Nothobranchius furzeri: one gene and its partners. The protein of the gene in region 1 binds, or shares a complex with, the protein of each later gene. Links are inferred from orthologs where the notes say so. Each region holds a gene or a part of one and is shown in the gene's direction. Other genes may lie near its edges.

Region 1 (11,096 bases):
CTGTTATTAATGATTCTCAATGCTCTTTTTTGCAAAATGAACAACGGTTGTGTAAAAGTTTTGCAAGTGGCTCCCCAAATTTCTAAACAATAAAATAAATATGGTTCAATCAGTGAGTGATACAATGTTAACAACCCCGACAAATTTAGTAGAAACTTAACTCTATATAATACACCTATGGCTTTGGCAATTTTCCCCTTTATATAACCATTGCCACAGCAAGTCATTTTGTCCAACAATTGCACAAATAATAATAATAATGAAAAAGAACGCACAAACGCTACAACTAATGGTCTAAGTTGAGAGACTAAAAATGACACTGGACAGTTTTCAGGCGAGGCCGAGGCTCAGACTGAGGCCTTTCCCCGGAGCTAGCTCTGTGGTCACGTGGGTCTGATGCTCATTAATTATACAGAATTTTAGGCTTTTAATACACTTAAACAGAAGAGTGAGAAAAAATTCACCCCCCTCAGAGTTGTCATGAGTGTAAACTAGATCATTTAAACCAAAAACATGTTTGGTACCAGGTTGTAAACATGTTTATTTCTGCTGTGAAATTGGTATTTTTAACATGGGAGTCAATGAGGATTTGCTCGCTTCTGACACCAGCCCCTAGTGGATGAGAGTGGAACTGCAATATATTTCATTTCCGCATTTGCTTCAAATTTTCACCCGCATTGTCGGGGCTTGGTTGGAACAAATTAAACCATTCTTGCTACAAACTAACTTAGCTAACCCAAGAAGCTAAGAATTGCACCGGGGACCGCGGGGTAGCCCATTCGCACAGCCGACCGGCTTCAGTTCGAGGCTGTAGTCATGCTGGCCACCTGTGGAGATCTAATATAGACTGGGCCTGTGAAATTACAATCAGAGCCAGACCGCTGTGACCAGGAGCCCTGGCTTTTCAGATCAGCTCATTGTCCAATGTCAGAAATAAGCGGGACATTAGCTGCATGCTAACCTGAAGCTAACAGAGTTTTTTCGGGCGTTTTTTGCAAGAAAAATGCATTAGAACGACTTCAACATGAAGACAACTCCGGCCTGCTTAGTAAAGAAATTATAACTAGGTAAGCTGACCAAGGATATCGTGCTTCGCTGGTGCACCATGGTCAAAAAGCCGTAAGTCCGCCAGTGTCGACGCACACGGCTCTGGGACTCAGCTCATGTTATCGTGTAGCGCTCCCGACCGAAGACAAAAACGGCTGACTCGCAGATCTTTTACTGCGGTGGAGCAGCAATGCCCGATCCTCGGTCAGATACCCAGCAGCCACACCAACACGTTATATTTCAACCGATTTCGACCCATCTTAGACCAAAGAGTGTTATGATAAACTAGCAACCTATTAGTGAGAAAAAAATGCAGTTGAGCGACTCAAAAGTAAAGCAGCATCAACATAAGAAGCTGCGGTGTTTCTGTGGTTTACCTCAGAAATCCACAAGTGACCAGCATGACTACAACCAGGCATCTGAGCCGGTTCGCATGTCGGCTGCCCCGGAAACGGGAACAGCCAGTCGCCTGCTCTTGCTACTCGTCTCAGGCAGGAAACGGAAGACGGGCATCGCTTATCCAGCCAGCAGCCCCACTAACATGTCTGACTAAGCAGTTAAATGAACCACATTTTCCCCATTCAACCAGCAAAATAAAGTACAGAAATATAATTTTACTTACTGATAAAAAGAAGCAGAAACTGTTTGGATGATCTGTTAGTGCAGTCATTAACCAAAGCTTGCCCTCTTTGTCCAAATGATTCCATGATTAACATCCAAACAGGAACACACAGACAAAACTAAAGTTCAGAGAGTCGAAATGGCCGAACATCTATTAACATGAGGCCGAGGCCTTTCCACTGCTGGAGGCTGGAGGCCCTGCTGTGAGGCCCCTCTGATGCTCAATAATTATTCAGAATTTTAAGCATTAAATTACACTTAAACAGAAGAGTTACAAAAGCATCCACCCCCTTCTGAGTTGTCATGACTGTAAACTAGATCTATTAAACCTAAAATGGGTTTTTGAACCAGGCTGTAAACGTGTTTATTTCTGCTGTGAAAATGGGATTTTTAACATGGGAGTCAATGAGGATTTGCTCTCGTCTGCTGCCAGCCCCTAGTGGATGAGAGTTCAACTGCAATTTTAGTCACTCCTTGGCTTCAAAAAATGTAGACCATAATGACCCCTTGGGTGCTCTGGAGTTTTCTGCCTTCTGCTTCACTGCCTGCAGCAATCTCCTGGTTCAGAGTCTGACAAAAAGCCATAAAACTGATCACTATTTTGTGCTGAGCTGTGTTTCTGTGGAGCATACAGGCAAACTTACACTGTGTACTGATCACATATTTTGAGTAAAAATCGTCAAATTGTAGGATGTAGTACTGGTGGGATGTAGTACTGGTAGGATGTAGTACTGGTAGGATGTTGTACTGCTGGGATGTTAAACTGGTTGGATGTTGTACATGTAGAATGTAGTACTGGTGGGATGTGGTACTGGTAGGATGTTGTACTGGTAGGGTGTAGTACTGCTGGCATGTTGTACTGGTGGGATGTTTTACATGTAGAATGTAGTACTGGTGGGATGTTGTACTTGTAGAATGTAGTACTGGTAGGATGTAGTACTGGTGGGATGTTGTACTGCTAGGATGTTGAACTGGTTGGATGTTGTACATGTAGAATGTAGTACTGGTAGGATGTAGTACCGGTGGGATGTAGTACTGGTAGGATGTAGTACTGGTGGGATGTTGTACATGTAGAATGTAATACTGGTGGGATGTAGTACTGGTGGGATGTTGTACATGTAGAATGTAGTACTGGTAGGATGTTGTACTGATGGGATGTAGTACTGGTAGGATGTAGTACTGGTGGGATGTTGTACATGTAGAATGTAATACTGGTGGCATATAGTACTGGTAGGATGTAATACTGGTGGGATGTTGTACATGTAGAATGTAATACTGGTGGCATGTAGTACTGGTGGGATGTTGTACATGTAGAATGTAGTACTGGTAGGATGTAGTACTGGTGGGATGTTGTACATGTAGAATGTAGTACTGGTAGGATATTGTACTGATGGGATGTAGTACTGGTGGGATGTTGTACTGATGGGATGTAGTACTGGTAGGATGTTGTACTGGTGGGATGTTGTACATGTAGAATGTAATACTGGTAGCATGTAGTACTGGTGGGATGTTGTACATGTAGAATGTAGTACTGGTAGGATATTGTACTGATGGGATGTAGTACTGGTGGGATGTTGTACTGATGGGATGTAGTACTGGTAGGATGTAGTACTGGTGGGATGTTGTACATGTAGAATGTAATACTGGTGGCATGTAGTACTGGTAGGATGTAGTACTGGTGGGATGTTGTACATGTAGAATGTAATACTGGTGGCATGTAGTACTGGTGGGATGTTGTACATGTAGAATGTAATACTGGTGGCATGTAGTACTGGTGGGATGTTGTACTGATGGGATATTGTACTGGTGGGATATTGTACTGGTGGGATGTAGTACTGGTGGGATATTGTACTGGTGGGATGTAGTACTGGTGGGATATTGTACTGGTGGGATGTAGTACTAGAAAACTAGGTTTACATTTTGGACTGAACCAGGGGTGGGGCGTCTTGTTGCAGAAGAAAAAACTTCTGAGATAAGTAATACTAGTTTTTTATGTGACATGTTGTGTGTGACAACCCCAGTGTCTTCAGAACCAGTCCAGTGACATCAGACTGGTGTCAGAGCGAGTGCTGTGGTGGGTGTTCAGAGACCCGTCAGTGCCCCCCATGGATACCAGCCTCATCAAGCCCCTGTTGAAGAGTCTGCTGGACAACACCAAGGACAAGAACACCACCGTCAGAGCTCAGAGTGATCACACCATCGTCAACCTGCTACAACTCCGCCAAGGAGAGGAAACCATGCAGGTGAGCCTGTGTTCTCTGGGATTGTATTCAGACATGATCAATAATAACATTTCTGTGGTTATTATTCATTCTTACCTTTTTTACGTGACAGAGCATGACTGCTATTCTGGACTCTGCTAGTAATGAACTGCTGTCAGAATGTCACCGCCGGTCTCTGAAGAAGATCGCCAGCCTGCCAGACTCCAATGAAGAGATCGATGACACCATTTTGACATGATTGAAAAGGACTTGACAGTAAACTGAAATCTGCAGAGGTTGATTAAAATTTGACTGACACTGAAAACAAATCCTGAGTTGGAGAACCCCAGACACACTCGACACACAAGGGCTTTCCCTACAAATGTATCTTTTGTTTTCTCTAACTTTCAGTCTTCGTTTTAGTTGCCTTTAAGCCCCGTTTCTTACTCCTTTTTATCTTGTGATGTGCAGGTTATAATCCTGCACTAAACTGTAGTATTTGGGAGACAAAATGCCAAATTTGTTTTGATATGATCATGTTTTGTTGACTATTTTATCAAAATGATTTCAAGCGTTAAAGATGCCTCTAGGGAAACATCAGCCCTGTCTCTGGATTGTGTGTGACTTGTTTGTGGAAAGCAACTTTCTATAAGACAAACTGTACTTATCCTGGATACTGTTGTAAAAAGACAATACAAAATAAAGATTTCGTGTGTTTGAGATGCTTTCAGTGATGATTCTGGTACAACAAAACGATGAATCACAAAGACTTGAAGACCACAGGACAGGTTCAGCAGACATGATGCATAAAGCATGACACGATCAAAGAAAACTTGCATTAGGAGGAAGTTACAAACTCGGATTACTCTGTGAAGAAGTTGCATGTCATGCTGGATGTATTAAACACACCCGTGAGGTTACCTGGTTATCTGAAACACTAATCTCACACAGTCACAACAGCTGGATGCGTTTTTATTATTCTGATTGTTTTAGGAGTTGTTTGTGACATCGGAGGGGACGTGTGTTTGGATCATGATTCGACTGGGTACAATTCTCGGTAAACGTGGGCTTTGACACCTGTAGGTGTTGTGAATCGACTGGTCCGTGATCAGTCTGCTGGGACTGCCGCGCTCTGGCTGGAGCATGCGCAGTGACGTCGGCTCCTTTGGGCGCAGCTCCGCCAGAGAAGGAAGCGGAGTTTCCGGCTGTTTGCAGCGGAGGGTGGATTGCTGACGCCGCGAAACCCCGAAGAAAAAAAACGCCACCGGCTCGGGGTCTAACCGTCTCCAGCATCGGGTACCGAGTCGTTTTCCGTGTGCCGGGGGATCTGGGAGCTGGTAAATGTCTACGGTCTAAAGGGAGTCGGAACAGAAAGCTAAGCGAAGCTGCAGCAAAAGGCGGGGGATAGCCACCAGCTACCGGCATGGCCAGGGACTACGATTACCTGTTCAAGCTGCTCATCATCGGTGACAGCGGTAAGCCGATTTCGGGGATGTGGGACGGGAAGTGGGCCTTGTTGTGTTTTTCTTATTTCTTACAAGGTAAGCGAGAGTAGCGTTGCAGGGCCGAGTAGTTTACTGGCTGTGGGCTCTCACTTCGCTTCATATTTTATCCTTGAAAACGATGAGTGGAATGAACAGCTCCGCCATGTTTTAGTGCCCGTGACAGGGCGGAGGTTGTGTGACCGGACCGGGCATGTCAGGCCGGATAGCGCCTCCACAGCGTCGGCTCTGTCGCACCAGGGTCTCTACTTTTGTTCCAGTAGGCGAAGACTTGGTTTTAGCTCTATAAAAACTAACAATTTGACTAAATTACCTCCGTTAAAGCTCTTCCGCTTCTCTAATTTTCTCTGTTTGTGTCCCACATTAGCGATGTAATATTAGCTAGCAGGAAGCTAGGCTAACATCAGTGCTCCAGGCTGGTTGCTTTAAATAAACATTTACTTTGGTGTTTTAAAGTTGTTTAGCTAAGTAGTAGAGTTTTGTGTATGTGTCTGTAGAGTCAGCACGGTTTGGTGAAGCTGCTGCATGGGATGTGGTTTTGCTAGCAGGCAGGAAACTAAGCTCCTCCGTGGACCTTTGATTTGCAAAACTGTTTCTCAGCAAGCTAGCCGTTCACAATTGGTTAATTTCAGCCACCCAATCAGGTGCAGCTGGCCGCTGAAGTGTAAAAGCTGGAGTGCTGCTCCTTTAACGTGAAATCCTTTCACATCAGACAAACTCCCGAAGCCACAGGTGGATCCAGACCGCAGGTGTAATTATGGAGCCATTGCTGCGTCATCTAAGGCTCATCCAGCTGGAAGCCTTTTGATGCAACAGTGATCTTTGCTTCCATTGATGGCTTCAGTCCTGGCACTACTGCCGCATCAGCTGGCTATTCACTTTGTGTGACAAGGCAGCACTACGCACCCTTCATCACATCCCACACACAGCCTTAGTGTCCTCAGTCACATTGTGGCAGATCAGTTCTGCAGAGATCGTCTTGGGAGGAAGAAGACTAGACCTTCCGATTTTCCCTGCCCTGGATCTCCATCATAGGTTGGGGATGTTGTTCCTGTCGCACGTGTGCCTCCTGAGTACATCATTTATGTATTACAGCATTGCATTAGAAGGCCCTGCACACTGAGCGTGAAAGTCGTGTGTGGAGTCCAGGATGTTGTCAGTGTTTTGATTTGTTGGACAGAAAGTGACTCTCGATCAGGTCGGTGTTAGAGACATGGTGGTACATTTGATGTGGTTATTGTTGTTGGAACAAACCTGTGTGTGGAGATGAGACGAGTCCGTCTGACAGCTCAAACACCAGAAGTCAAACTGTCTGAAGACAGCACACTTTTACCTGTTGACTATTATTTTTGAGATTTTTTCTCTTGTTAACCTTTGATCAGCTCTCTTTGCTCTGCTAAGATCCAAATGAAGATGTTTTTGGAGCCCAGCTCTCCTGAACTCCTCCCAGCTCATTGTAATGTGTAAAACTTAATATGTGTAGAAGAACCAACTGTCTGAGTACGCAGAGATTAGCGCTGTTGACTCTTAAAACATGTTGTCGTCATCTGATGGTGCAGAGATATAAAGTGTAAAACCAAAATCTGACTCACAGTAGTGACATAGATCTCCCCAGAGCTCCCTACTGCTCTGTTTGAGTTGACCAGGCGGGTGCCACCGAGCACATCTACTTTTTTAAATGTGTTTGTCTTCGTTGGAAACTTGTTTTATTGTAATCTTGTGCTTGTTTCATTCTCAGGAGTGGGAAAGAGCAGTCTCCTCCTGCGATTTGCAGACAATACATTTTCAGGTGAGTGGTTCCACCTTTTGCTGTGGTGTGACGTCCATTTTTTCTACTCTTTACTTCCTGCTCTCAAATTCCTCTTCTTTGTTGTTTTCTGTCTGTTTTTTTGTGCTCGCATGGCTGCTCACAGGTAGCTACATCACCACGATAGGCGTGGACTTTAAGATCCGAACAGTGGAGCTCAACGGGGAGAAGGTGAAGCTACAGATCTGGGACACAGCGGGGCAGGAGCGTTTTCGCACCATCACCTCCACGTAAGCAGCCTCTTTTACGGGGCATTCTCATGTGGGTGATTAAAGCTGGAACCGTTGCATCAGAGGAAGGAGTTTGCAGACAGCTAGAGTACGTAGAGTAGGAGCTTTGCTGTGTGACTGGGTGGAATTTAGAGGTGTGAATCTTCACTTGTCTCTCGATTCGATTACGATTATTGGGTCAGTGGTTCAATTCGATTAGAAATCCCGATGCATCACGATTATTTCATATTGATTTGTTTTCATCGATAAATAGAAGATGTCAGATAATTGCTTTTCATTTTTATTTATTTACTTTTTATCAAACACGTAATTGACACAACCTGCCATCCCTCAAAATCTCTCCATTCACAACAGGTTAGGACAAAACATTTTAAACATTTAAGAAGATTTAACAAAGTAAAACTATCTGTTCCTCGTTCAACAGCCACACGTCAGGCTGAGAAAAACACGCTTTGCAAAAACTCACAAAATCTAAAAAAGTACTGAAAACCTACAGGACACATAACGTAATAATAAAATACATAATGGGTTCATACAGGGAGTGCAGAATTATTAGGCAAGTTGTGTTTTTGAGGAATAATTTTATTATTGAACAACAACCATGTTCTCAATGAACCCAAACAACTCATTAATATCAAAGCTGAATGTTTTTGGAAGTACTTTTTAGTTTTAGCTATTTTAGGGGGATATCTGTGTGTGCAGGTGACTATTATTGTGCATAATTATTAGGCAACTTAACAAAAAACAAATATACCCATTTCAATTATTTATTTTTACCAGTGAAACCAACATAACATCTCCACATTCCCAAATATACATTTCTGACATTCAAAAACAATACAAAAACAAATCAGCGACCAATATAGCCACCTTTCTTTGCAAGGACACTCAAAAGCCTGCCATCCATGGATTCTGTCAGTGTTTTGATCTGTTCACCATCAACATTGCGTGCAGCAGCACCACAGCCTCCCAGACACTGTTCAGAGAGGTGTACTGTTTTCCCTCCTTGTAAATCTCACATTTGATGATGGACCACAGGTTCTCAATGGGGTCCAGATCAGGTGAACAAGGAGGCCATGTCATTAGTTTTTCTTCTTTTATACCCTTTCGTGCCAGCCACGCTGTGGAGTACTTGGACGCGTGTGATGGAGCATTGTCCTGCATGAAAATCACGTTTTTCTTGAAGGATGCAGACTTCTTCCTGTACCACTGCTTGAAGAAGGTGTCTTCCAGAACCTGGACTGGGAGTTGAGCTTGACTCCATCCTCAACCCGAAAAGCCCCACAAGCTCATCTTTGATGATACCAGCCCAAACCAGTACTCCACCTCCACCTTGCTGGCGTCTGAGTCGGACTGGAGCTCTCTGCCCTTTACCAATCCAGCCACGGGCCCATCAAGACTCACTCTCATTTCATCAGTCCATAAAACCTTAGAAAAATCAGTCTGGAGATATTTCTTGGCCCAGTCTTGACGTTTCAGCTTGTGTGTCTTGTTCAGTGGTGGTCGTCTTTCAGCCTTTCTTACCTTGGCCATGTCTCTGAGTATGGCACACCTTGTGCTTTTGGGCACTCCAGTGATGTTGCAGCTCTGAAATATGGCCAAACTGGTGGCAAGTGGCATCTTGGCAGCTGCACGCTTGACTTTTCTCAGTTTCTCAGTATTTTGCGCCTTGGTTTGTCCACACGCTTCTTGCGACCCTGTTGACTATTTTGAATGAAACGCTTGATTGTTCGATGATCACGCTTCAGAAGCTTTGCAATTTTAAGACCGCTGCATCCCTCTGCAAGATAGCTCACTATTTTTGACCCTTCTGAGCCTGTCAAGTCCTTCTTTTGACCCATTTTGCCAAAGGAAAGGAAGTTGCCTAATAATTATGCACACCTGATATAGGGTGTTGATGTCATTAGACCACACCCCTTCTCATTACAGAGATGCACATCACCTAATATGCTTAGTTGGTAGTAGGCTTTCGAGCCTACACAGCTTGGAGTAAGACAACATGCATGAAGAGGATGATGTGGACAAAATACTCATTTGCCTAATAATTCTGCACTTCCTGTATATGAGAGTTTACTGTCTCTGAGCAGCTTGATATTCATGCCACAGTTCAAGGGTGTCAGAAATAACACCAAATGAAATGTTTGACTTAGTTTGTTATTTTATTCAGTGTTTCCCTTACATAGACGTAGCCGTGGCGGCCTGCCGCGGCTGAAATCCCGGCGCCACGCCTACAAGATCCCAAGTTTAATTGATTTTTTTTTTTGTTGTTGCGCCGTTTCCCGAAGAAGCAACGGGAACTACTCTGTTGTTGCTTGTGATCACAGCCAGCAGGCAGCAAGGAGGAGGAGGCAGGGCAGGGTGGTTACAGCTAGGGATGAGCCGCATACTCGTTTCAGACGAGTATCCGGTACGGATAAAGCATTTTTGATGAATACGAGCATGAAACGAGTAAAACTTGTAAAAATCTGTAATCGTGCTGAAGGAAAATCCTCATTGGGTAACTGACTGTCTTCACACTCTGTGATTGGCCAGTCACATAGAGTGCCCGCCCCTCCCTACACACAAAACTGCAGCCGGGAGCTCTGTCCGTCCGACACACTCGCACTCTCTCACACACACACACACACACACACACACACACACACACACACACACTGTGTGTGGAAAAAATGCCAACAACACTGGGAAAAAATCAGTTTTATCAAATTAAAATAAAATGGTTCTAGAATTTCATGTTTCCTAAATCCTGCTGCATGAGTTCAGATGCATTAATTCATGCACTTAAATATTAATGTTCTGATTTTAGTGAAAAACTTGTTCTGTAGTTCCTTTACTATTGTGATCAAAACAATTTAATCTCAATTCTGAGGCTGCTCTGTAAATAGTTTTCTAATAAACACACATAGCAACTTCTGATCAATCCATATCAATTTCAGATTTAAAATCATGTATTGATGTAAACCACACCCACTGATTTCCAAATAATAAATAAGAGGTGCATTCATCTGTGTATCTCCTTTGATCTGCATTAGTGATATTTTCAGCACCAGAACAATGAAGCAAAGAAACAGATTCCCGTGTTTGTTAGTAATTTTATTTATTAGATGCATCTGATCTGTTCTATTTTTCTCTGAAATGAGATCAAATCAGTGCTTCTATGGGGTTGTCTCCTCTCTGCACTAGAAACATGTACTTTATTATAATGTTCACTGTAATGCATCTTGATGTTCTTAACAAATAAATTAAATCAAAGATGTTGGTCAATAATGCCAAATACGTATATTTGAGTTTCAGTCATTTTTATACTGGCTTAAAAATACTTCATTAAGTCTACTAAGCAGGGGTGTAGAACAAGTTTAATCGGGCCAGCCCAGTAATGATCTTGGGCCAAAATAAAGGGGACAGAAAGTCAAATAAAGGGGGGCAGAAGATGTTTTTCCAGATGCCAAGAAAAATTAAATGCCAAATATTGACAAATAATTTTTGTTTTAAATTCTCAGTGACACACTTTGCAGGGGGGCAAAGTGTGTCACTGAGAATTTAAAACAAAAAATATTCTTGTGCAAATATTGGTGTATTCACCTTTAATAATAGTTATTAAAATTCAGCAGTTGCTGGATTGGTGCAGTTCAAAGTGGAGTACATCAAATAAAACAATATTAACATAAAGATGAGACGTGTCATAACC
Region 2 (8,392 bases), on another chromosome or scaffold:
GGGCCTGAGAGCGGGGTTCGGGGCTGAAGCGCTGCGCCTGGGCCTGAGAGCGGGGTTCCGGGCTGAAGCGCTGCGGTTCCGGGCTGAAGCGCTGCGCCTGGGAGCGGGGTTCCGGGCTGAAGCGCTGCGGTTCCGGGCTGAAGCGCTGCGCCTGAGAGCGGGGTTCCGGGCTGAAGCGCTGCGGTTCCGGGCTGAAGCGCTGCGCCTGAGAGCGGGGTTCCGGGCTGAAGCGCTGCGGTTCCGGGCTGAAGCGCTGCGCCTGAGAGCGGGGTTCCGGGCTGAAGCGCTGCGGTTCCGGGCTGAAGCGCTGCGCCTGAGAGCGCGGATCCGGGCTGAAGCGCTGCGCCTGAGAGCGCGGATCCGGGCTGAAGCGCTGCGCCTGAGAGCGCGGATCCGGGCTGAAGCGCTGCGCCTGAGAGCGCGGATCCGGGCTGAAGCGCTGCGGTTCCGGGCTGAAGCGCTGCACCTGAGAGCGGGGATCCGGGCTGAAGCGCTGCGCCTGGGCCTGAGAGCGGGGATCCGGGCTGAAGCGCTGCGGTTCCGGGCTGAAGCGCTGCGCCTGGGCCTGAGAGCGGGGTTCCGGGCTGAAGCGCTGCGGTTCCGGGCTGAAGCGCTGCGCCTGGGCCTGAGAGCGGGGATCGGGGCTGAAGCGCTGCGCCTGGGCCTGAGAGCGGGGTTCCGGGCTGAAGCGCTGCGCCTGGGCCTGAGAGCGGGGTTCCGGGCTGAAGCGCTGCGCCTGGGCCTGAGAGCGGGGTTCCGGGCTGAAGCGCTGCGCCTGGGCCTGAGAGCGGGGTTCCGGGCTGAAGCGCTGCGCCTGGGCCTGAGAGCGGGGTTCCGGGCTGAAGCGCTGCGCCTGGGCCTGAGAGCGGGGTTCCGGGCTGAAGCGCTGCGCCTGGGCCTGAGAGCGGGGTTCCGGGCTGAAGCGCTGCGCCTGGGCCTGAGAGCGGGGTTCCGGGCTGAAGCGCTGCGCCTGGGCCTGAGAGCGGGGTTCCGGGCTGAAGCGCTGCGCCTGGGCCTGAGAGCGGGGTTCCGGGCTGAAGCGCTGCGCCTGGGCCTGAGAGCGGGGTTCCGGGCTGAAGCGCTGCGCCTGGGCCTGAGAGCGGGGTTCCGGGCTGAAGCGCTGCGGTTCTGGGCTGAAGCGCTGCGCCTGGGCCTGAGAGCGGGGTTCCGGGCTGAAGCGCTGCGGTTCCGGGCTGAAGCGCTGCGCCTGGGAGCGGGGATCCGGGCTGAAGCGCTGCGCCTGGGAGCGGGGATCGGATTTACTGCCTTCAAGATTCTTTAATCCAGTCTGAAGTCCTTGCGAGGAAGCTACGAGAAACAGAGGAGCTCTTGGTTACACCAGCATTAATCATCATTTACCAGAAGTTATATGATCTCACTTTGTGTGGTAGCTTGAAGCTCTCCACAGAGCAGCCATGGTAGCACCACACTAGAAGAGAAGTATAAAAACCATCATCGGTTGTTCCAGATGAATGAATGAATAAATGCATACAGAAGCATAATGAATGACTTGAAAGTACCATAAAAAAAGCTTCATGGTTCTGACGTGTGAACACGCTGCTCAGCACCTGGACCAACAACTGCAGCTCTCCCTCTCTTCCCTCACTCCTCAGTGAGACAGTGAAACTTCAGGTGCGCCGCAGGTGATTTTCATTGTTCTGTCAGCCAATCAAAACCTCTGATTTCAAAACAATTGACTGAAAACAGGTGGAACCAATGAAACTTGATTTATACAATATAAATCCAATTTGATCTGGTTTATCATTTCCCTGTAAAGGAGCACATTCAGTGTACTAATTATATATATATATATATATATATATATATATATATATATATATATATATATATATATATAAATCTAAATAAATAAAAGGCGAGTCTGATATCTGAGACAGACTCACTCCAGGCTAAGCGAGAAAGTTCAGGTGTTTATTTGTTAGAATTGTGACGATCACGGCTCGCAGCTTATCATAACCCCCCCAAATAAAAAATCTCATACATTTTGAATATTACATTAAACCACTAAAGTAATGATTTTAGATAAAGAAACGTCAGAACTCTGAAAAAGCAGAATCATGCATTTGTACTCGGTCCTTGGTTTGGAACCCTTTTGCTAAATGAACTTCTGGACAACGTTCTAACTTTCTGAGTTTCACCAGTAGAGCATCCTGGGTATGATGTTATTTTTTATTGACATGCTGCTTTAACGAGGAAACACTGACGTTACGACCTGTGACTCATGAACACTTTACAAGTTCTGTAAGAACTGAGTTAGGCCCACTTATGTTTCCAGCACCTGATGCATTAGATAAATTTCTAATCAAACCTCAAATTCAAACCTTTGTTTGATCCTTTGAATGAGTTGAAACCATTCGGTAGAAGCAATAAGGACTGATGATGCTGTGATTCGTCTTTTGTTAACTCTTTTTCACAGGAAAAATAACTGATCACTGGAAATCCCAAATGTAGTAAAACATGCTGTAAACAGACGGAGAAGCTAAAAGCTGCAGCTGTTCTTGAGGAGTGCTAGTCTGGCAGGTCACCCGATGTAAACCTATACCTGCAGAGCTAAATATTTCGCTTTTGCACCAGTGGGTCCAGAGCAGTGGTTCTGGAGGGCCGGAACCCAGCACATTTTAGTTTTAACCTGCTTCAACACACCTGATTTTAATCAGCAGGTGATTAACAGGCTTCTGCAGAGCCTGATGAGCTGCCGCACAGGTGATTCAACTCCAGGACCAGGATTGAGAAGCACTGGTCCTGAGTTCCAGGCCAGGAGATGTTAGTACCGTGGTGGGTCAGCGGGTGTCAGTAGATCCTCCTCTTTTCTTCTTCATCCCTTTCTCAGTAAAATCAGAAGCAGACTGAGCTGCAATGACCCTAGTTTAAGGATAAGCTCCGAAAACAGAAACCTCATGTTGATGGGGAACTTGTTGTTTCTGCGACTCGTGGGATCTGATTAGAACTTGGACTTAAAAGATTGTTATGATGGATCTTTCTCACATTCAAAAACATTTAGATATTTAGTGTTATACGAGCCTACGTCACACCCACGTCAAGCCCCTACGGCCTGAAACAAGAAACCGCTTTGCCTTATGTTAACTGTAATCAAAATGAAATATGTGAGTTTCGACTGTTTGTCACGTACTTTGATATTTATCAACTTGTAAAAACTGATCATTAAAAAGACTACAAATCAAACCTCACGTATCACGTCACCGAAGCATCCCTTCAAAACAACCTCTAGTTCAGTTAAAAACCATCAAAACTATGAAAATGTATAATGCATTTATTATCTCTGCAACTCACATTTATCCTGTCTCCACGTTTTATTTATTTTGTTTCATTTATTCCTTATTGTTCATGTTTCCATTCATTGTTGACAGAATTTTATTATGTAAAAATGTTTGTCAGGTTTGCAAGAAAGCAATAAAGCTCTGGTTCGGTTTCTTTTTGTGGTAGTGCCATCTACCGGTGGAACCGAGTATTGCACCTGAACCTCTCACCACCTTCTGCAGATGGACTCCTGAATTAAAGAGCAAGTCACCCCCTACAATAAACTTACTCCACTCCCACTTCATGTTTGAAAAATGCAACAATTGCTGTTGCCTGGCAGACCGAGAGGGCGGAGCCACTAACAAATACACACACACACAGGCTCACAACGGCATTGTGACGTCATAATGCACCAGTTTACATCATAGCATACCTCTTAGCCAATAGCGGTGGCAGATTTAAATTAAAATACAGTGCAGAGTTTTTACCTGACGACGGCGCAACACTGCCAGTTTTAGGCAGAAAATTTAAATTTTAACTAAGATGCACTGAAGTGCCAAATTATTGACTACACGTGTCTACAGTACAATTAGACACTCGTTTATTTAGTTTATCAGCAAAAAAAGTTGATTTGGGGGTGACTTGCTCTTTAACAACTCTGGTCACATGACCTTGTGCTGTGTTTGCACGTGACTTGTTGTCGTTTCTCTAATTGCTGTTGCTCTATAAAATTATTTTATTGTGCTTATTTCTTCTTCTTGCACCAAGTACGCAGCACTTTCCTGATGCTCACACATATGGCAAAAAACTTTCTGATTCTGATGATCAAACCTTCAAAAAATAAAAAATAAATAAATAAACATGACCATTTCGGTTTTTGCAATATAACGGAGTTGTCAATTTACAAATACTGGTTATCAAAGAGATCAATCGAAACTGGATTAAAGCTGATACTTATTTTTTCCATCCCAATTGTCCTCATGATCATACAAACAATTATTTAAGATAACCGTAAATGCCAAATATGTTAAAAAAACAACATTGTAAAATATAGCTAATTATTAAAAAATAAGATCAAATTAAACATAAGATTTCCCCTATTTTAAAACGTTTTTAATAAAACATTAACACCAATACAAATAAATCAAAATGTTAATAATAGGCTAAGAATTAAAGATTAAATAATATAATAATTATATATAATAATTTATAAATAAAGCTTTGATTGATTGATTGATTGATTGATTGATTGATATACTCATAATATCTACAACCAACGTTATGTTTACAGGATAAGAAGTTATTGGTTTGCTCTCTAATGTTTTGATGGATGACTCTCAGCTGCTGACCAAAGGTATAGTCATTCTACGCAATAACTTAGGTCTGGTGTGAGCAATGAGTCATGTTGCACGTTCAATGTTATTTCATTTAAAACGTGTTTAGTTGAGTTTTGCATAGAAATGTTTTGCATATTTTAGTTTAATGTACTTTTTATGTTTTTCCAGAATAGTTAGTGATCAAATTTTACACCTAAAGTTTAAATTTCATAACCTTTTCTATTGTTTTTTGCATTTCTTTTGTTCTTCCCAACAAAAAGTATTTGGCTTTACTCCAATTTAAGAAGAAGAAACAGCAAAAACTAAATGTTTTTTATTTATTTAATTTTTATTATTATTTAACGACCACCGGGTGGCTCACGCAGGAGGGCTGAGGGTGAGGAGGGGTGCTGGCTGTCCCGCCCGGGTGAGATAATCCAGTCTGGGACTGGGACCGGCGTCACCTCAGCCTGACGTGCTGCTGCTTCACTTCCTCCCATCCCGCAGTGTCTCCGGTACCGACACCGGATTCCCACACGGAGGTAACAGCTCGGCAGCAGACTGTTACACCGCCTTTGGCACCGAGAGCCACGGCCGACAAGGTAAACGGCTCCATTAGCACATTTTTAGTGCGTACTGGGTGAAAACAAGCGGGGGGGAACGACAAAAGGCTCCGTTAACCGAATATCGCGTCGAAGGCAGAAGAAAGGATGTTTTGTTCGTTCCTTTGGAGAATGCGCAGCTCGTTGTTCCGGAGCTACGTGTCTTTCTGGTCCTTCTGAGCGGTAGTTTAGATGTTTGTGTTGGAAAGGGTCAAATCTGGGAGGCTGGTTGGGTTTGGCTAGTTGTGTGTGGCTGGCGCGTGTAACGGTTTGTCTCATCCTCGGTTTTATTCATTTTCGGGTTAAATGTCCGCGCATTTATGTAAAATACGTCACGTTTTTATTATATATTGATGTCTCTGTACACGCGTACACCGTTAACGTGACACGGCGCGGCCTCGCCAGCGGCCTGCGCCCCCGTTATCACCATATCGATCCACCATAGTGATCCACATTACTAGAAACATCAGCGAAACGCAAACAGCGTCAAGTTCGACAGGATGTTCAAAGTATAGCTTCCGGCCAAGGTTTACAAAATAAAAGCCTATCTGCTTAGCCTGAAAAAATGAAACGAGAATTTGTAGAGCTGTTTGTCGGTTTAGACAACAGGTTTAAACAGCAGGTACATTTAATACTATCTATTTAGATCTCTAGAGTAGTATCCCACCCTTGTTTATTAAAGTTGAGGCAGGTGTTGTTGGCCTCGTATATATTTTTTATTCATTATATTTATTTATATTTTATATATTTACTAATATTTAATTGTTTCTATTTACATGTGTAGGATGGCTTGCCAGGCTACGTTGTTGATACATTACACCAAAAAATCTGTTCATAATCTGTTTTGCTTAAAAAAATAGTGTACCTAATTGGTGGTTATTAGAAGTTAATGTTGGTTTGAGGAAATAAAAAGTGACCCTAAAACTGAATTTCTAAACTGAAGAGTGAAATAATTTTGAGTTAATTTTAGATTCACTGAGATAAAGAAAGTTCATAAAAACACTACTTGGTGTGTGTGTGTGTGTGTGTGCCATACTGACCCAGTATCCTCTGGAGGTTTCTTCCTGTTAAAAGGGAGTTTTCCTCTCCACTGTCGCTGCATGCTTGCTCAGTATGAGGACTGCTGTAAAGACTCTGACACTAGTCAGTGACTCGATGCGACCTGCTGGGTTTCTTATGTAGGAAACTTTTTATTGATTGGCTTAATGACCTGACCTGTACTAGAAATGTTTACTGTGTGAACGTCATTGAGACGACTCTGGTCCTGATTTGGCGCTTTAGAAATAAACTGAATTTAATAGAAAAATGAATAAAAACACAGAATGTGCCTCAGGGATCATTAAAGTATTTTGAATTTGAATAAAGAACCATAATAAGTAGAGCTTTGTGGAATCTAGGCCTGGGACGACGATAACAACCAGTTAATGACAATAAACAACATTGTTGTTGACATTGTTGAGACCAAAATAACCACTTATGTAATTACAATATATCATAATAATGCAAGTGTTTCCTTTAAAATGCAACTATAAAACCTTCATTTAACATTGGAATATCCAAAACCAGAACTTCTAAATAAATAAATAAAACAAACAAACAAAAAAATACAATAAGAAAGGACTCTCACTCTCTGTTAGAAAATATTGCACTAAAGACCCTCAATATATCGGGGCTGGAAAAACGATTGAGTTAATTTTCATCTATTGTATGGTTAATTGATTTATTGATTTACCGTCCCAGGCCTAGTGGAATCCTAATGAATTGTTTTTAAATTAAAACCTAAGATGAAAACCAATTATATAGATTTAAACACTATTTAATCTCAGGACAATTGTTACTGGAATTTATTTCAAGGCTTTTATTTTTTAGGCCGTTGCTCTGCTCTTCCTGTTGAGTTTTTGTTTTTATCTTCAGGCAGATTGCATTCGGTATGGTGGGATTACCCAGCTGATCCAAACAACAATAATATGTCATGGCTGCAGGATTAACATGTAATCTTTGCCACTTAAACACTTTTTATATCAATATTTTTAAATAAATTGCTGGAATATATTTATTCTAAAATCTTTCTGTTTTCTGTTTTTTTTCCAGAATCAAAATTGAAACCAGTTTAAGTCTAAAATGTAATGTTTTTATTTATTTTTTTCAGTCAGATTTCATGTGTGAAGGAACCTGAAAATAGCCCAGACATGAATGGAAGGAAGTCCCTCCACTTCCCTACATTCCTAAATGTCAGGAGCAGGAACTGTTCTGTTCGATTTTTATTTAAAGGTGTGGAACACTCGTTTAATCAGTACTTTTGAGGTGGTCTCTAGTAGGGTTGTCACGGTAACCGGTGTAGCAGTAAACCCCGGTAAAAAAGTTGACAATAATAATAACCATCTTGTTTTTTTTTTTATTATTATTATCTCTGTGGGTTACCGTGGCTGCGGTGTAGGCGCGGTGACCCTTACCAGCCACCGTATCATCTGCTCAAGTTGCCGGCGGCACATGCGCACTTTGTTGTTTACAACCAAAACTTTCTTGAAGCTAAAGCTGAAATAACGGCCAAAGGAGGAGACGGCAGCGCTCAGGACATTTATTATCCCTCAAAGAAGACAAAGTGGGAAGTACGGGCATCTTTTGGATATTTGAAGAATGCCGAGGGACAGTTGATAGAAGACGGCTATCCTGTTTGCAGCACGTGCAGAAAAAGTGTCTGTGAAAGGCAGCAACGCTTCAAATCTCATGACACATCTGCGTGACCATCACCCACAACCCTACAGTCAACGCAAGGCAAGCTAACGTTAGCGTTTTAGCTAAAATGCGTGATCCGAGGATTTGGGTTGAGGGAGAATGCAACGAGTCGCTATATAAAGCAGCCGCAGCGCCGCTACCTGCATATAAACCGTGTCGCGGACACCGCCATGTTGAAATGACGCTATGCATTACGGGGCTCCCAGGGGCAGATAAGAGTTGGTCTCTCTCTGAGAATAATTATTAATTTAACAATGATTACTGCCTGATGACATTTTCCCACATCTGCAAAGCTCACTGGAACACAAACCGAGGACAATATTTTCCTGATATAGGGTTTATTACTCAAGTAAGGGTAAAAAAGTATCTGATTAGAAGACTACTTGAGTACTGAGTATCATCTGACCTAATAATTTTAAAATGATGACATCAAACAGACAAAAAATAAGAAGTTATGGG
Region 3 (8,576 bases), on another chromosome or scaffold:
CAGTTGCGGTGTCCATGATCTGGTTATGCACATTCACCTGATAGGATTTTTCTGCATCATCCAGGGTTTCATCTTGAGCCATCTCTCCAGGCAAGACTGCCTTCATCCTCTTCCTTTTTTGTGGCAATGTGGCCTCCACTTCAATGTCCATGTCATCTTTCTCTTGGATTTTTGTGTTTTTCCACTTGACAAAAGTGCCTGCTGCTTTTTTTTTGATGGATTCAAAATCTCTTCCCAAGCTTTTCAGTGTATCCTGTGTTGATACTACCATTCTGTAGGCAGAGAGGACGTCCAATCCTGCTGTCTGAAGGCACTTAGACAATGGAGAGGTATGATCAAATATGTGGAGGAAGATTTGAGCCATTAAGATCATCTCATACTTCAGCAAAGACTCAGTATATCCTCTCGCCAGGACACAGATGGAGGGTTTTACTGTTGCCTGTTTCTGGATGATGTCAACAGTACATCGACATACAGACCATTTTCCGGCTTTCCAAAGTAGCCAAACACCTTCTTCAGGGCCTCGTGCTTGGCCCACCAACGTGTCTCACCAATAGGAGCAAGGATTCTCCGTCTTTTGTTTTGGCCTGTCTCTATCCACACATTCATCCTTTGACATGACTCTGTGATAAATACAACAATGCCTTTGAAGAGCGCGAAAAGGGACCCGCTCTCAATAACAACCTGGGTTGTGTTTGCAAGCACCAGATTTAGCACATGTGCATAGCAACAGACATGCATTTGGTTTGGTGATTGTGCAGACAATAGTGAAGAGAATCCTTTATACTGGCCTTGCATGTTTGATGCCCCATCGGTCACACTTCCAATGCACATTGTCTTGCTCAGGCCCATTTTTTCCAGAACATCTGACAGCATGTCAACAAAGGCCTGTCCAGTAGATGAACTACACTTCAGCACTGCAACAAGCCTCTCATTAACAACATCAGTAACATACCTCATAATAATGGAGCACTGATCCTGAGAGATGTCCTGTGTTGTGTCCAGCTGAACTGAAAACATTCCTGCTTTCTTGATCTCATGTGATATGTTTTCTTGAATCAGATGGTGAATTGCATCCATCACTGAGTTGACTGTGGTTTTGGAGAGAAAAGTTACAAGGGAACCTCTGCCTCTTGTGCCTCCAGATAAATGTAACTTTTTGCTCTCCTCAATGCAGCTATCCAGGTGCTCTTTTAAACAGAAATCATACTTCCCCAGTGGAAGTATAAGTTCAAGGAAATTTCCATGGTCAACTGCGTGGTCTTCCAGGGTGCTGCCTCATTTTCTGACCTCCTGTATGCAAGCCCCCTCTTCCCAAAAACCTTGATGACATCTATTATGCGCTCCAAAACCTGTCGTCTTTTTTTGACCTGCTCTCTGTGTGCGGTCATCTGACTGCCACGAAACATCGGCTGATATTCAAGAGGTATGCTTCAGCACAGTTTCTGTGTGCACTGCTTCTCTCATGTTCCTCGGTGCGCTGGTGTATATGCTTCCATTCTGACATTCCACTGATGAACAGACTACTATCAGTTCTCTTACCAAATGCCATGCAGATGAAGCAATACAGCACATGATGCACTGGACAGTACGTCAGCCATCTTCTGCTGGTACCATCTCTGCTACAGAACACTTTCTGCACCACAGGATTGGTACTTTTTGGCGGAGGATGGTAATTTAGAAACGATAGGAGATTTTTCTGATCAGGTTGTGAAAAAAAATCTGTTATTTCCATCCATCCATCTTCTGAACCTGCTTGTCCACGCAGGGTTGCGGGGGGCTGGTGCCTATCTCCAGCGGTCAACGGGCAATCGGGCGGGGTACACCCTGGACTGAGAGCCAGTCCATCGCAGGGCAACACAGAGACACACAGGACAAGCAATCATGCACACACACACACACACACACACACACACACACACACACACACACACACACACACACACACACACACACACACACACACACACACACACACACACACCTAAGGACAATTTAGACGGACCAATCAACCTAACAGTCATGTTTTTGGACTGTGGGAGGAAGCCGGAGTACCCGGAGAGAACCCACGCATGCACAGGGAGAACATGCAAACTCCAGGCAGAAAGATCCCAGGCCAGGAAGCGAACCCAGGACCTTCTTGCTGCAAGGCAGCAGCTCTAACCACTGCACCACTGCGCAGCATCTGTTATTTCACTGTCACATTCTTGGTGCTTTACAGCTGTTTCCCTCTCAGGTGGTGCTGTATTTGGGTTGCCTGTATTGGTTTGGCCCTCTCCCTGAACTGACCAGCTGGACTTGCCCGTGTCTGGGCTAATAAGAAAAGCATTTTGCATTGTAAAGGGAAATAACTTCAAACCACAGAATAATCCACATATACAGATATTTATCAATATGTATATATTTTCCATAGAAATGCATTAGCCATGCACAAACTCACATGTATACATAAACATACAAAGAAATTCAATTAAGTTAACTGTCAAAAGTTGCCTTTCAGAGTCAGATGCCTCCAATGTGCTTTCCCCTACAGAGTATCAGAGAGAGGCGAGGCTTCTGAGCACAGGCACCACCACGACCAGCAGGGAAGGGGAGTTGGGTGTCTTGCCCAGGAAAACAACAGCAGTATTTTCTGCTGGGATCAAACCTACAACCTACAACCCACTCTGCCGAGCCACTGCTGTCCATACATTTATAAGACATAAACAGAATTTAAATGGTGATTTTTCAAGTCTCCAAAGCAAACAGTGAAAATGTGATGAATAGAAGTAGACAAGATATAAATAGGCAGTGAAGAGAGAGGACAAAATACTGGTACGATATGATGCACCGGATGTCTTTCAAAATGATTTATTACCAGAGTGGTTCAAGATAAAAATGTATTTAACACAACGACAAAAAGCAAATCTTTAAGTAACAAAGTATTTGTACACATGTGAATACAGACTGATGTAAGTGAGACGTGCACTCGTCTGGTTTATGTTTAAACTGGTATAACACCAGCTCTCCTCACGCTTCTTCTGTCCATCACAGCTGGATCTGTGTCACACTGTTGCTGCTGGGGGCACATCGATGGTGGGGGCAGGAGGGAGGAGCAAACACTGCTCACTGATTTTCACCACTCAGCTATATCAGCAGAAAAACATTATGCTTACTGCTAGAATGCTACTGGCTGCTAAAGTAATCGCTGGGCTCTCTGTGGTTTACGTTTATTTGTCGCAATAATCTTGATGAATTATTTGTTAGCTGCAACTGACCTTGCAACGACCTTCTGCGTCCTTTAAGTTGTCCCTTTGATGTGCACTGCATTCTCTAGCGCACAACAGCATGCAGGCTAAAAGCTAAAACCACCCAGGTCACAGGTGCTTTAGTTCCGAAGTGAAAGTTCTGTTTTTATTGGGTGTCATTTTGTGGTGACATCTATATTTACTGGTACATCTCATGAACCTGAAGAAAACAGTTCATTATAATACACAGGAATCTGTCAGACAGAGCGGAAAAGTGACTAATGCAGAAAGCACCTTTGACTGATGGTGGACTGTGTGACCTTTCTTTTAATTAAAACCGCAATAATAAATGTCACAGCCAATGCTGGACCAACAACACTAGTGGCTTTTTATTTTTCTTGCTGTTTTGCGTTGTAGCAGTGTTACGAATCTGCTCTGACCACACATGATCTTATTCAGCTGGAATTCAAAGCAATTAGTCATTTAATTGTAGTTTTCTTGTTTTACATTTGGTCTGTGGTAAAAGAGTCATAAAACTAGGACTATCTGGTAAAAGTGAAACATCTGACTCCTGTAAAAAAAACATTTAGAAATCGTTTTGATGAATTAAGATGAACAGCAATGCAGGAGGAGTGGATGCAATGGTCATAAGCAAATGCTGCTTCACAGATGATGAGCAAACATTTTAGCAACATAAACACAATTATTTTGAAGGCTCTCATGATAAATTAGGCAACTTTTGTCCAGTAAGGATTTCAGGAAAAGATATGGATTCCAGCTGCATGACCAGTGACAGAAGACATTTTCAGAAAGTTTTTGCACATGAAAATACTAACAAATAAACTACTAATCTAGTTGGAATTACTGAAATTCTATGGAATAATGAATGAATAAACATTTTCAAGAGATACTTCCTAAATTCAAGGGGAGAATATATAATTTGAGCATTTTTTTGGGAAACCAGTCAATTTATTTTGTCCATGTTTCTGTATTACTTAGAAATTACTTTTTTAAAAGTCTGAATGACTTCCTTTTAACCTATGTTTACCTTTTTAATGACTGCTATGTTGGTGCAATAAGATTTCCACCTGTATTCATTTGAATTTTATCTTTTCAAACAGACTCTGTGTACATCCCACTCATATTCATATCCCTATGCTGTTTATATTGTTCTGAATGAGTAAAGCACTGCATGTAATTTACTTGAATGTGTTTTAATTACAAGCCATTCATTCATTCATTCATGCATGAATACACATGATGCCTAAAATGAATAATAACAAACTACAATACATCTGTTTGTCTTGATTGATTTTATTTTAAATAGTACAAGGAACATTTTCTTCTGAGATGTAGTTTACTAGCCAGGCAAGCCAGACTAAATAAATGTATTATTGCAAAGCAAGAATTTGGTCTACTTCACTAGGCTAGCAGTTTACACTTCTAATTGGGAAATACACTAAAAGTGTATGTAGGTTTTGTGTGTGTGTGTGTGTGTGTTCTTGTACTGTACTGCACTCTACAATGTGAGGACATTTTTTTTAGAAACTTACCAGTTGGTTTTAGAGGTATGGTGTGAATTTTGTTTTAGGGTTAGGGATAAATCAGCATTGATTATAGTTAGGGTATGGGTTATGCATAGTGGAGTCACAAAAATGAATGGAAGTCAATGGAGGGTCCTCACTATGATAGGAAGACGGACGTGTGTGTGTGTATGTGTATTCAGCACCTGAGGTAAATAGGAATCCCCTTGTTGCACTCTGGCAGCCTCCGTTGCAGCCGCCACAACTGAGCTAATAACGCAGCAGCGTCAGAAGGAAGCCCCTTTTAATCAGAAGCAGCGTGAATCACACGGTCCAGGTCTAAAGTGTGTGTGTGTGTGTGTGTGTGTGTGTGTGTGTGTGTGTGTGTGTGTGTGTAATCGGAAGCAATGAACCACATGGATCAGGTCTGCAGCAGCCGGACGCTCGCAGGCAGCAAGGTGCTCATCTGACGCGCTGACGTCACCAAATCTTTGACAGCACTTCCTGGAGTGGTGTTTGTTGTGGGAAACAGCCACGGTGGTGCTGAATTGAGGGAATTTAGGCCACATAAACGGCTGGAAAGACGAGACAAACTCCCACCTCCTCCCACCATCAAGCATGTGGTCGCGGCAGCTGCTTTTGACCGATATCAGATAAGATAGAAAGAGGGTTTTCGGCTGAGAAACCGAGGAAGGAGGACGAGGTGGAAAATTTCCCGGACAGACCTCACAGCAGAGCAGAGCCGCCGACAGACAGTACGGCGTTGTCGCGATGTTGTAACTAAACCATGGACAGCAGGATAAAGTAAGACCTTGGAGTTTATTTTCTTTTTTTTTAAATAAATATTCAGTCGCTTTGCTACGTTTACCGGTCAGGCTAACGGCTAACGTGCAGCTGACGCGCCGTTAACTCGGAGCTGCGCGTGAGTTGCGGAGGAATGTTTGGCGTAATTTGAGCCATCTCCAGCAGCGGCTTTAACAGCCAGGCCAGCTGGCTCAGCACGCATTTGGGTCAGTCTGTGGCTGTCCACTAGCTGACCACCAATTAGCCGCTTTAAAATAGGTGAACAACCATTCTGTGGGTCGAGCTAATCCCCTCTGTTTTATCAGAGAACCCAGTCACCCCTCTGCTCCATCGAGCTGCTGCTTTCATTATTGACATTTCCTGTTAATGTGGGTCAGAAGATCACAGAACTACTCTGTTCACGTGGATAAACACATGTTTATATTTGCTAATTTTCCTAAAATGAGTTTGATCCTGTTTTTAAAATCTTTTTTCATTTAGGGAGAACCCAGAAAGAACATTTGATCTGGTTGTACAAGTGGCGTGTCCACCATCTGAAAATGAAGGTATGTGATTTTAATATTTCCATTCTGTGTGCAGAATCACGTGACAGTAAATAACTAATTCATGCTGTTTTGGGGTTTCAAACATTTATGCAAATGAGGAAATCGGCTCACTTTAAGTTCTCTGAAAACACATAAATAATCGACAGGCTGAGTTTGGAACAGCGCGTCCCCAAATCCAGACAACAGTCCTTCAGACTGACACTTGAATTTAAAAAATGTTGAAGTACTTCAACACATTCCACAGAGGAATAATTCAATTTGGTGACGTAACACCATTCAAAAGGGGATGAGACGTGAGACGTATGACCCTTAAAACACTTGGACATGAATTCCACCTAACAGCTCAGTCAAAACTCATTCTCTGAACCGTTTCTCCTCAGCAGGGTCACAGGGTTGTTCCTGGGGTTGTTTCCACTAATTCTGACTTTTCATCTTCCACAAGATTATAAAGCAGATGGTAGATGAATGAAGTCTTTAGAAATGGGACCAGTTGTTTTAGGTTATTGTGAGATTTTTGCTAAGTCGATACACTTTAAGATAACAACCAGCGTTTGTAAAAACTGGTTCATCATGTGAGCCCGTTTCTGAGAAATGAGTTTGCAACTTCTGAAACTTGTTTGCTGTAAATTCAAATGTGTTGTGATTTGGCTATGGGCCAGTTAAACACAAAAATCACCTTGTGCATGACACAAAATGTTCATAACCCTCCCACTGTCCTAATGGGTGTGACCCCGCGAGGAAAGTTGACCATTGAGCAGGGTTGATGGTTTATCCCTTGAGGTCCACGTGGCAGGGGTGAGGTGGTGCTCACTCCTCACCCCTGCCACGTGGACCTCAAGGGATAAACCATCAACCCTGCTCAATGGTCAGCTTTCCTCACAGGGTCACACCCATTAGGACAGTGGGAGGGTTATGTTTGTGGGCCATATACAGGTGAAACTCTAAAAATACTCCGAATATGGTGCAAAAGTTCATTTGTGTCAGTAATTCAGCTTAAAATGTGAAACTAATATATGAGACAGACTCATTACATGCAAAGCCAGATATTTCAGTCTTTATTTGTTATATTATGATGATTATGGCTTACAGCTTAAGAAAACAACACATTCAAAATCTCAGACAATGAAAATATTGTGAAAAGGTTCAATATTCTAGACACTCTAATCATCTAATGAATGCAGAACACCTGCAGAGGATTCCTGAGCCTTTAGATGGTCTCTCAGTTTAAAAGAGCTGTCTGGACTTTTGCACCATTTTATAATATTTCAATTTAATACATGTAATAGATACAACTGTTAAAACCAAGCACTTTGTTTCCAGTATTCAGTTTGATAAAGCTGTTTACTTGAGCTGACGAGTGGTGAATTTCTTTGCTCCCATTGTTGCAAAAATGATTGTTTCTACCCAGCCTGTAAATACTATAATTGTTAACTGTGCAGCCAGGGAGCTGTGTGGTTGCTGAATGCACTTGCATTCACTGCATGACTGAACCAGTAGTCATTACGGCGGTTGTATTAGAGTGTGTGTGTGTGAGGTTCAGAGTTTGCTTTGTCTGCAACAGAAGGCTGACACTTGAGTTCTGAGAAAAATAAAAATCCATTTCAAATTTTCCTTTTCTCTTACGCACATTTATTTGATTTACCTGATCGTACATTTTTCCTTGGGGACATTTTTTTCTAAAATCCATGAAATGTGTTGTATTTTTAAAAATGTCAGGTTTGAGTGAGAAACCTGTTTGTCGTACCTTCCAGTTGGTCGTAACTTTTGTGAGAAATGAAGTGTCCACCGAAGAGCAACACCATCCTTAATCATTTTATAAATACAGGAAATGAAGTAACCCTAACATTCCCGTCAATATCCAGTGTTATTCACAAGTCTATATCATGTAAAAACGTTGTGCGTGTGTCTTGCTTTGCCCGCTCACGGCTGAGTTTGAAGAGGTGTTATTGGAGGGTTCGCCCTTGCAGCTGCTGAGCTGACGAGTGAAGGCTGAAAGTTGTCCTTGGATGTAGTTCTCATATTGGCTTTTCAACCAAACTCATAAACTGCTGAATTGCACAGTAATAACTGACTTCCTTCACGTCTGATCTGGGGTCAGACTCATATCCGGTCTCCAGTTCCCTTGAGCAAAGCTGCGGTGCAACATTTGCTCACTTCAGTTTGAACTGAATGCACATATTATTGTTATTTGACCAGAATGTTTTCTCTTCACGCTGTTCGGATTGTTGAAAATAAACCTGTTGAGGAAACTGCTAATCTCTACTTTAGGTTTCTGTCAGGAGGGCCTGAAGGTTGTGGCTGGCTGCTTTTTTTAAAATAAGCAGTTTCATTTACTCCTATGAGGAATCGGTCACTTCTCCCTAAATCGGATCAGTTTCACTTTCTCTTACTCACTATCAGCGGTGTTTTGTCCCCATTGCAGAAGGAATTTGTCAGAATATTCACTCTGGTACTGGTGGAGGTTTAACACACTCATC

Evidence for each region. The genes of interacting proteins can lie anywhere in the genome.
Region 2: the proteins of rab35b (region 1) and rusc2 are in contact, whole or in part, in a crystal structure (PDB 6IF2), measured with the Homo sapiens proteins. The link is inferred for Nothobranchius furzeri from reciprocal best matches to the Homo sapiens genes RAB35 and RUSC2. Residues at the interface, in NP_006852.1 of Homo sapiens: Asp4, Tyr5, Leu8, Phe9, Lys10, Ser22, Leu26, Asp30, Ile38, Thr40, Val43, Asp44, Phe45, Lys46, Ile47, Lys58, Gln60, Trp62, Thr76, Arg79, Gly80, His82; in NP_001129471.2 of Homo sapiens: Val997, Lys998, Asn1001, Asp1005, Val1008, Thr1013, Arg1015, Lys1020, Glu1119, Glu1155, Leu1158, Leu1159, Gln1161, Pro1162, Leu1165, Leu1166.
Region 3: the proteins of rab35b (region 1) and dennd1b are in contact, whole or in part, in a crystal structure (PDB 3TW8), measured with the Homo sapiens proteins. The link is inferred for Nothobranchius furzeri from reciprocal best matches to the Homo sapiens genes RAB35 and DENND1B. Residues at the interface, in NP_006852.1 of Homo sapiens: Lys10, Leu12, Ser17, Ser36, Tyr37, Ile38, Thr39, Thr40, Ile41, Gly42, Val43, Asp44, Phe45, Gln60, Trp62, Thr64, Ala65, Gly66, Arg69, Phe70, Arg71, Thr72, Ile73, Thr74, Ser75, Thr76, Tyr77, Arg79, Gly80, Thr81; in NP_001182144.1 of Homo sapiens: Met1, Arg4, Glu43, Ser47, Phe51, Val72, Leu73, Thr74, Asp75, Ile76, Glu77, Ser78, His211, Glu212, Arg213, Arg214, Gln242, His243, Ile244, Ile246, Leu249, His252, Leu253, Asp255, Tyr256, Cys258, Ala259, Pro260, Met261, Pro262.

The regions. Positions count from the first base shown.
Region 1 is NC_091757.1:28,059,120-28,070,215, forward strand, and holds the start of rab35b (ras-related protein Rab-35b), read left to right. Parts: upstream 1-5,063; 5' UTR 5,064-5,292; coding exon 5,293-5,344; intron 5,345-7,109; coding exon 7,110-7,160; intron 7,161-7,284; coding exon 7,285-7,408; intron 7,409-11,096. UniProt on the Homo sapiens protein: The small GTPases Rab are key regulators of intracellular membrane trafficking, from the formation of transport vesicles to their fusion with membranes.
Region 2 is NC_091750.1:38,915,792-38,924,183, forward strand, and holds the start of rusc2 (AP-4 complex accessory subunit RUSC2), read left to right. Parts: upstream 1-5,000; 5' UTR 5,001-5,197; intron 5,198-8,392. Other genes in the region: uncharacterized protein, read right to left, coding at 1-1,308, 1,380-1,429, 1,521-1,537. UniProt on the Homo sapiens protein: Associates with the adapter-like complex 4 (AP-4) and may therefore play a role in vesicular trafficking of proteins at the trans-Golgi network.
Region 3 is NC_091748.1:66,499,309-66,507,884, reverse strand, and holds the start of dennd1b (DENN domain-containing protein 1B), read left to right. Parts: upstream 1-5,184; 5' UTR 5,185-5,537; coding exon 5,538-5,554; intron 5,555-6,034; coding exon 6,035-6,099; intron 6,100-8,576. UniProt on the Homo sapiens protein: Guanine nucleotide exchange factor (GEF) for RAB35 that acts as a regulator of T-cell receptor (TCR) internalization in TH2 cells. Acts by promoting the exchange of GDP to GTP, converting inactive GDP-bound RAB35 into its active GTP-bound form.